Linked DNA regions of Coturnix japonica. The protein of the gene in region 1 interacts with the protein of each later gene in a biochemical or structural test. Links are inferred from orthologs where the notes say so. Each region holds a gene or a part of one and is shown in the gene's direction. Other genes may lie near its edges.

What was found.
Region 2: the proteins of PTPRB (region 1) and CNTN1 form a complex in vitro, tested with the Homo sapiens proteins (2 studies listed by BioGRID). The link is inferred for Coturnix japonica from reciprocal best matches to the Homo sapiens genes PTPRB and CNTN1.

What each region holds. Positions count from the first base shown.
Region 1 is NC_029516.1:32,508,788-32,513,088, reverse strand, and holds part of PTPRB (receptor-type tyrosine-protein phosphatase beta), read left to right. Parts: intron 1-180; coding exon 181-330; intron 331-1,373; coding exon 1,374-1,617; intron 1,618-2,378; coding exon 2,379-2,485; intron 2,486-3,013; coding exon 3,014-3,113; intron 3,114-4,301. UniProt on the Homo sapiens protein: Plays an important role in blood vessel remodeling and angiogenesis. Not necessary for the initial formation of blood vessels, but is essential for their maintenance and remodeling. Can induce dephosphorylation of TEK/TIE2, CDH5/VE-cadherin and KDR/VEGFR-2.
Region 2 is NC_029516.1:26,178,256-26,182,556, forward strand, and holds part of CNTN1 (contactin-1), read left to right. Parts: intron 1-999; coding exon 1,000-1,112; intron 1,113-2,533; coding exon 2,534-2,690; intron 2,691-4,301. UniProt on the Homo sapiens protein: Contactins mediate cell surface interactions during nervous system development.

The sequences.
Region 1 (4,301 bases):
CAGTTTCCCTGTGGGAGGTGAAGACATTTTCTTGACTGCAAGAGAATAGAATGGAGGCTTGGGTCCAGTCATCTGAACTTTATTAAGAATTGCCTTTCCTTTGCTAGGTATAGCTCACAGCAAATACATAGATAACTCTTTTCCTTGTTTTTTCTTTACTTTTTTTGTTTCATTTCTCAGGTCCCCCTCAGCCACCTCCAGACATACGAGTAAACAAGAAAGAGGTGCTGATTACCAAATCCTCCATTAACTTTACTTTTAACTGCAGCTGGTTTAGTGATACTAATGGAGCTGTGAAGTACTTTACTGTGGTTGTCAGAGAGGCTGATGGTAAGTATCATTTAATACCGTTCTCTCTATAGCCTGTATGATTTACATGCAGATGTACACCCCTATCACTACACAGCAAAGTAACTTCTTATATAGTTGCTGACTTTCACTGAAAGTTTATGGCTCCTTAGCCTGGAATTTTAAGCATTCAGTCCTCCTCTCAGAAGGTAAGTAGCATCTGCAGATCCTAGCCAGAAGCGGTAGTTAGTTAGGTTCTGTGCTCTAGGAGATGCTCTCATGTAAGATCAGAAAGTTTCCACAGCAGAAGACTTACGTTGGTTGACAGATGCCATTGATGGAGGACATAGAATAGCCTGCCTTGCTCTGCACAGATCTCAAAAAGTAGTTCAGTTGTAAGGGGGAACACTAAGACAGCTTTTGGAAAACCCCAGTAAGCCATGCAGAGAAGGAAAAAGTAACATGATTCAGGTAGAGTTTGCTTACTGAAGAATATGACTTTACATGCAGAACAGAGCAGAAATTGTCCTTGCAGTATGTACGTAAGCCTCCTTTTCTGTAGTTGACCTATATGTGGCAATGCAGATTGATGTCTTGACAGTTAATACAGGCTTTAGAAGCAGCTTCATGTGTCAGTATGCTGGTATTTTATGATTCTTGATAAAGTTTCTTAAGATCTCTGTCTGTTCTATGATTCTGTGATCAGCCCTCAGGTTAAAAAAAAAAAAAAAGAAAAAAAGAGGAAATATTTCCACTGTCTACTTGGTTGTGCTTGAGCAGTTTATAGAGCTCTCATAGAAAGGGACTGACTACTCATTGCCAGTCTTTGGCCTACTTAAGTTTTATGCATGCTATTGCTAGTTCTCTTTCAGCAGACTTCTGTCATTTCCTATGTATTTTTTCTCTGCATACAGTAGACCACTCTTGTCAATTTGTGGGATATTTTTTAACTTGCCTTCCCTCCAGGAAAGCCTCAGAAGTTGGATAATAAGGATTTGGTCCATCAACACCCTGAATTTCTAATACTGCATTGTGTTAATGGCTGTGATATGTAAACCTTCTGTCTTTCTCTGCACATGATGTAGGCAGTGAAGGACCAAAACCCGACGAGCAACACCCATTACCTTCTTACCTGGAGTACAAACACAATGACTCCATACGCATCTACCAGACCAATTATTTTGCTAGTAGATGTGCTGAAAACCCTGACAGCGACTATAAAAGCTTTGACATTAAGCTTGGAGGAGAAATGGAAAATCTGGGAGGAAAGTGTGATCCAGATCAGCAAAAATTCTGCGATGGACCCTTGAAGCCTCGGACTGCTTATAGGTGAGATTAATGTTGGTAATTGTGCTCTGTCACATTATTAGGCACAGTGCTGAGTGTCTGACACACTTGAGCTTCTGAAGATAAATAACTGGGCCGTATAATGTTCCTTGTGTTTCATGGCATAATTTATAAAAGCTTTATCCATGCTCCATTCCATGGATAGAAACGATATTTTCATTAGCATGGGAATGATACCAATAGTTACATATAGTGTGTTTGTTTATCTCCTTTTGGTCAAGACCTTTCCTATAGTTAGTAAATCCCTCTTTAGAAACACTAAGTCATCTAAGTCAGAAGATTACATAACAAGAGAAGGCAAGAACGCTGCATAGAATTTATTTGTCACTATGTACTCACACAAGTCCTTTGGGACAAAGTAGAAAATTGCGCAGGTTGTTGTAATCCATGGCACAGTCCAGAGGCTCCAGAGCTAAGACTGGGTGAGCTGTAGGATATAGAAGAGCACTACTGCCAAGACCAAGCAGTTGGACAGGCTATGAAAACAAATGTGAACTCCAGTGCATCTCAGTCTCACCCTTCTTTCAGGCAAACACTCTGCCAAAAGATCTGCATGATGCTTACCAGACAGTGACATGTACAGAAGGCACATGCCAGGCAGTCTGTTGTCAATGGAAAGTCTTTAATCATCTCTAAGAGACGGGTCATTTCTTATCTGAATCTCTTATTTTTCCACAGTTGACTCTGAACATCTGATAAACTTAACTAGTAACTGTAAACTGAACTGGGTATTTTTTTTTTAGGATCAGTATACGGGCTTTTACCCAGCTCTTCAGTGAAGACCCAAAGGAACTTCCTCAACCACTCTTTGCAGACACCTTCTTCTCTTTACCAATCACTACGGAGGCAGGTTAGTTTCAAGCTTGCTTTTCAGTCATTGTAGCAAGTGATTATACATTGCAACTCAAAACGCTCTGGTATCCAGAACTGCTTGCAAGGATTTGTCATGCAGTGTCCTGAAGTCTGCTTTGAAATAATGCGGAAGCCATGGCTTATCCATGGCCCTTATTTGCCATGGATAGGCCATGAAATTGAAAATTAAAAGGTCTGCTTGGTAGAGCTGCTGACAGCAGAGAAAAAGGTGAATGCTCAGTGATGCTGTTGTCAAGAAAGCTTTGACATACCAGAAAGCTGAATTCCTACATGATGGAGCTGTGCTTTCTTTTGCTGTGGTTGGGAATGAAAAGTTTTGCATAACATTTAGAAAAAATTAGGACAGAAAACCAAGGCCTAGTTTAGTTGTTCAGACACTTTGAATTTCCTTTAATTTAACCATTTCCTCTAGCTAATAGTAGTAACATATTCTCTGGGCACTGGTGATTTTTTGATTCTTCATGTCTTTTCTTCAAAATGTGTAAAAACACTGTTTTGTTTCTAGAGCCTCTCTTTGGAGTTATTGAAGGTGTGAGTGCTGGTTTGTTTCTCATTGTGATGGTAGTGGCTGTTACTGCTTTGTTTGTCTGCAGACAGAAAGTTAGGTAAGTAGAGTCCTTTTATCAGCCTCTGTTATGAGATCAGGTTAAACTATTTTGATATAAGAAATGCAGTGAAAGAATATCTGTACACACTAACTATAAAATGAATGACTTAATAAATATTGAGAGCTGAATATATTCTTTATAGGAGATTGAAATATCCACTGATGTTAGCAAGAATCATCTCATAAAGGATCCCTGCAACTTCTTGTTTTCAGTAGGAGTCTGAATGTTTCTGAAAAAAATGGCTTAATATGCAAACTCAGTATCTTGTGTAAAAAAAATGAAATATTTCTAACCATTTTATATGGGAAGTTCTTGGAACTGTTCGTTTAGACTTTGTTATTTCAGTTCAAAAACGTCATGGAATTTTAGCATGACACTACTTCTGTGTCCATAATATCAGTTCAAGCTTTTCAGTTTCCTGTTGATTATTGTTGTGTATTTCACTTCAGAGATGAATTTTAAATAGCAAATTTTGAATACATTTTTAAAAAGCAAAATATTGTCTCAACTTTGAAAAATGCTTTATCTGTTGAAACCATTTTGCATGATTGAAAGAGATGCAACGTTACTGGTAGGAAATAGGATGCTGTAAGGTGAAATAATACAAAAGATGGCAATAATACAAGAAGGATGGTGATAGATATCCAAAAGGTTATGTACAGGAAAAACTCACCAATATGGATGCCTTCAGTCTGGGTGGAAAATGCTGAGGCTGGTTATACAATCTCCACAGACAAGCAATCTCCAAAAAATGCTGCCTTAGTGGTGGTCAGCCCTTAAATGAATTCTAGGAGAGGTGGAGTCAAGCTCCACCCCTTCCGGAAGCACAGCTGAATTACCCTCACCTGTGCTCCTGCAGCTGACCAGACACTTGTCTCAGCTGATTAATCAGAGGTTCAGGCTGTGATTACCAGTCTCCCATACAGACGCCCTCCTTAATGATAGTCTGTGCTGGTACCAATTCAGATGAGGAACCAGGTCCTTCAGCCTGTGCTCATGCACGCACCCCACATTACTGGAATTTAAGAAAACCGTGCCAGAGCTAAAAGCAATGCCACAGGGTCAGAGCCACAAATCAAAACAGACGTAAAAGTTCCTTTCTTCCATCTCACTACTTTACGTCATACTGTTGGCAGCTCTTAGCAGTACTGCACTGTAACAGTAAAACAGAAGTGAAAACATCTT
Region 2 (4,301 bases), about 6.3 Mb from region 1:
GCTGCAGGCTCAGACCAGGATTCTCAGGGATAGGTTTTGTGGGGATGGAGACCCTTCCTGTGAGCCCTGTTCAGCTGCCTAACTTTTTCCTAGCATCTAGTCTGAGCCTCTGATATTCAAATGTGTGTCTTTTGTCACTCATCCCTCCTGCCATGCACCACTTTAGAGAACCTCACTCCATCTTATTGATAAACACAGACAGGCTGCTCATAAGTTGCTCCTAAGAAAGCAACCTCATCTTGAGAATGCACAAGCCTGTCGTTCTCACCTTTTCAAAGGGCAGTACTCCAGCTCCCTACAAGGTCAGTGGCCTTGTGTTAATCTCACTGCACATTATCAGTGTCTTTCTTGTACTGGGGGACCCAAAGCAGGACACGATGTTCCAGGTCTCTCTGAACATTCTTAGCAATGTTCAATTAAGAAATATATCTTGTGTATTTAAAACACACTTATGTGCACTAAAAATGTGTACAACTAGTTTGAGGATTTCTGTCAGCACATAGTGTACTGGGCAACTTAGATCTGCAGGGTTGTGCTGAATTATAATATATTTTATACAATTATTGTGTGAAATACGATCAACAGTTTCTGCAACAGGGTGCTTTGATTACTACTGAGTTAAGTGCTTTAGAATTGCCTTTAAATGGTTAATTAAATATTAAATTTCAATGAATAAATATGACTTAAGCCACATTTCAGGGAAGCACTGAAGGTATTTGCATGCCAGCGAACACACATGGTCAGCAGCATAGTAAAGGGTAATTTTGGTCACTTCCATTCTGACAGCACAGAAGGGCAAACCCACAAAGCAGCCACTGCAAAGCCATACACAAATTGTCTGGCTGAAGCTGCAGCACTTGGTTCAAGGAAGGGAGCTGCTTACCTCTATGAAGATTGGATTTAATTTCCCTTATTACGTTTCTATATATCCATGAAAATGTCAGTGAAGTTTTATGAAGTCTCAGTTCTTTCCATGTTAATATATATGTTGCTTTTCAGCTCCAAGCCAACGTCCAAGAATCATCAGTTCTGTAAGATCTGGTTCAAGGTACATCATCACCTGGGATCATGTGAAGGCAATGTCAAATGAGTCCGCAGTTGAAGGATACAAAGTATGACCTGTGAAAATAAGTTTTATCAATGTGTATTCTAAATGAGCTGTATTTTATAAACTGAAATGCATTTTGGTACCTAATGGAGCTTAGATATAATTGCATGCTAAAAATGAACATGTCAGGCTCAGAGATCTCAAACATCTAGTAGACACAGGGCAGAGCTGATGGACTTAGTCAATATGATGAGAAAATATTGTGGGTAGTGAGCCGTTTTATGTTAACATTTAGATCTGCTCTGACTGTAGCAACCTGATATCCAGTATGATTATATTTAGTCTATAGGCTAAACTGAATATTTTTTGCCACCCTCTGTTCTTATCCTCCATCATTCAAACACTCATTCCGAATGTAGAAAATTGAAATTATTCTTCAAAAGGTGGTGTAAACTATACTACAGAAAAAGCAATGAAGAAACATGTTATTTAGATTCACCCTAGATAAAAAGGTAAAAGATGGTATCTGCAACTAAGTTTTGAGATATATACAAGCATAAAGCTAATACTCAGGCTGGAAAGCTGGGCTCGGGTGAACCTAATGAGGTTCAACACGGCAAAGTGCAAGGTTTTGCACTTGGGCCGGAAGAACCCCAGGCACCTGTACAGGCTGGGAGGAGTTGTCCTTGAGAGCAGCTCGGCAGAAAAAGACCTAGGGGTCCTGATAGACGAGAAATTTAACATGAGCCAGCAGTGCGCTCTGGCAGCCCAGAAAGCAAATGGGATCCTGGGCTCCATCAGGAGAGGGGTGGTCAGCAGGTATAGGGAGGTGATTGTCCCTCTCTACTCTGCTCTTGTGAGGCCCCATCTGGAGTACTGTGTCCAGGTGTGGAGCCCTCAGTACAAAAAAGGCATGGAGATTTTGGAAATGGTCCAGAGGAGGGCCACAAAGATGATCAGGGGGCTGGAGCACCTCCCCTATGAGGACAGGCTGAGGGAGTTGGGTTTGTTCAGCCTGGAGAAAAGAAGGTTGCGGGGTGACCTCATTGCAGCCTTTCAGTACCTGAAGGGAACTTACTCCCAGGAGGGGAGTAAACTCTTCGAAAGGGCTGATAATAGCAGGACACGGGGAAATGGTTTTAAGTTAAAAGAGGGAAGATTTAGGTTCGATGTTAGGGGGAAGTTCTTTACTAGGAGAGTGGTTAGGTCCTGGAACAGGCTGCCCAGGGAGGCTGTGGATGCCCCGTCCTTGGAGGTGTTCAAGACCAGGTTGGACAGGGCTCTGGGCAACCTGATCTAGTAAAGGCGTATGTTTGGTGGCCCTGCTAGGCAGGGGGGTTGGAACTACATGATCCTTGAGGTCCCTTCCAACCCGGGTCATTCTGTGATTCTGTAATACCTTTTCATTCACTCACTGTACGTATATAACTGTGTGTTTGTGGAAATGTGGGATTTTAATAACAGTGTTTGCTCTGACTTTCCTAGGTGCTATATAGACCTGATGGACAACATGAAGGCAAGTTGTTTTCAACTGGAAAACACACAATAGAGGTCCCAGTCCCCAGTGATGGTGAATATGTTGTTGAGGTCCGAGCACACAGTGAAGGAGGAGATGGAGAAGTAGCTCAAATTAAAATTTCAGGTGAGCAGATAACTTCTTGCTTCCTTCCAACACTCCTTGGAAATTTTGGAGTAAACATTTTCTTCTTGTGCGCTCCCCAGAGATGTCCACACCATTCACACCCAAAACTGGAGAGGTAGTTAGCTCTTCAGAAGTGACTGCACTAATAATTAATGTTTATCTTAGAGTCTTCCTAAAGCTGAAAATGCACACAAGACACTTCAGCAGTGGCCTAATTCAGTCCTGGAAGCACTGTCAGTCTTCCAGACATCACTGCTTCTACAGGTGCCCTCAGTTATGCTGCCACTTTCAATAGTTTACTGCAGGCTTAACTGCACGTGCATGCCTAGGGCTGAAGAAATCAACTTGCAGTAATGCTGTAGTTCCTACGATCTGGTACCTTGGCATCTCATTCCATTCTTAACTGCCACAACAAGTAAAAAGGCAACTCAGACAAAAGTTGTCCATGAACCAATTGTTAGGTGAGTTCCACTTCCCAGGGTAGAGGAAAAGCTTTTTCATAGACATGAAAAAGCAGTGAGAGATGCAAAATGTTCAACTTCAAAGTGGTTTGGATGATTGGTAAAGAGGGTGGCCAGGCTGATTCAACTTATGTTCACTATTTACTCTAAATACAAGGTTAGACATGGTCTGTACATCCTTTCCCTACGAGTTTTGCACCCTTTGTATAAAACAAAAAATATAATGAAGTCAGGGACTCGGACAGTGTTTTTGCAAGATTATGTTTTAAATGTGCTGTATTATTTTATTTTTTTCTTTACTTAAAAAATGAACTTTGGGGATAGTAAGGTTTAAACATAACAATATTATTGTCACACCACCGATGCAACCATTATTACATCGTTTTAAAAAGCTTTGCCTATGCTATATTGTGAGTGTACTTCATGAAAATGTGCCCCTGTTGAAAAGAACGGATCTCTAACCTGCTGTTTTTCAATAACATAGACAGTTTAAATCACCTAACGTGAACTCACTACTATCACTAGTCTTGTTTGGATGATGCATCTAATCCAGGCTTGGTAAAATGGAATCTAGAGGTGGAGAATCATGAGAGTTAATTAATCACTGTCACTGATCACAACTTTTTTTCCTGTTTTTTTTTGTCCTATAAAATGGTGTTCAGCTTCTTTTCTAACCACAACCTTAAATCCTTCCCAGAGTCCTATATTTCCAGGATGCAGCATCCCTTCCTGATTTGTGTAGCATTTCCTTTGTGTGTAATTTTATATAAGGTTGTGATTATACACAGTTGGTTTGAATGACCTTAAGTTCCCATGCTATCTGGGATGATGATTTTTCTTGGAAACCTGTAGAGGGGGTTTGGTTTCCTAGAAACAAATGTTTTGATGGTCAGCTGGCCAGAATGGAATTTATATGTTTAGAGTGATGTGAACTACAGGGAAAGCAAGGCGTAAAGCATATTATTTAATTTAGAGAGGACAATTGCCTTTAGGCATCTGGTTCCAGAATTTACAAACTAAATTAATTTCTTGTATAAGTGAGTGGGGAGAATGAAACAGCAAGCACAGGGACTGAATATAGCCTGGATGATGACCAGGATGGAACACATCCTAAGCAAACTGGAAGGATGCATGGAAGAGAGAGGAATGT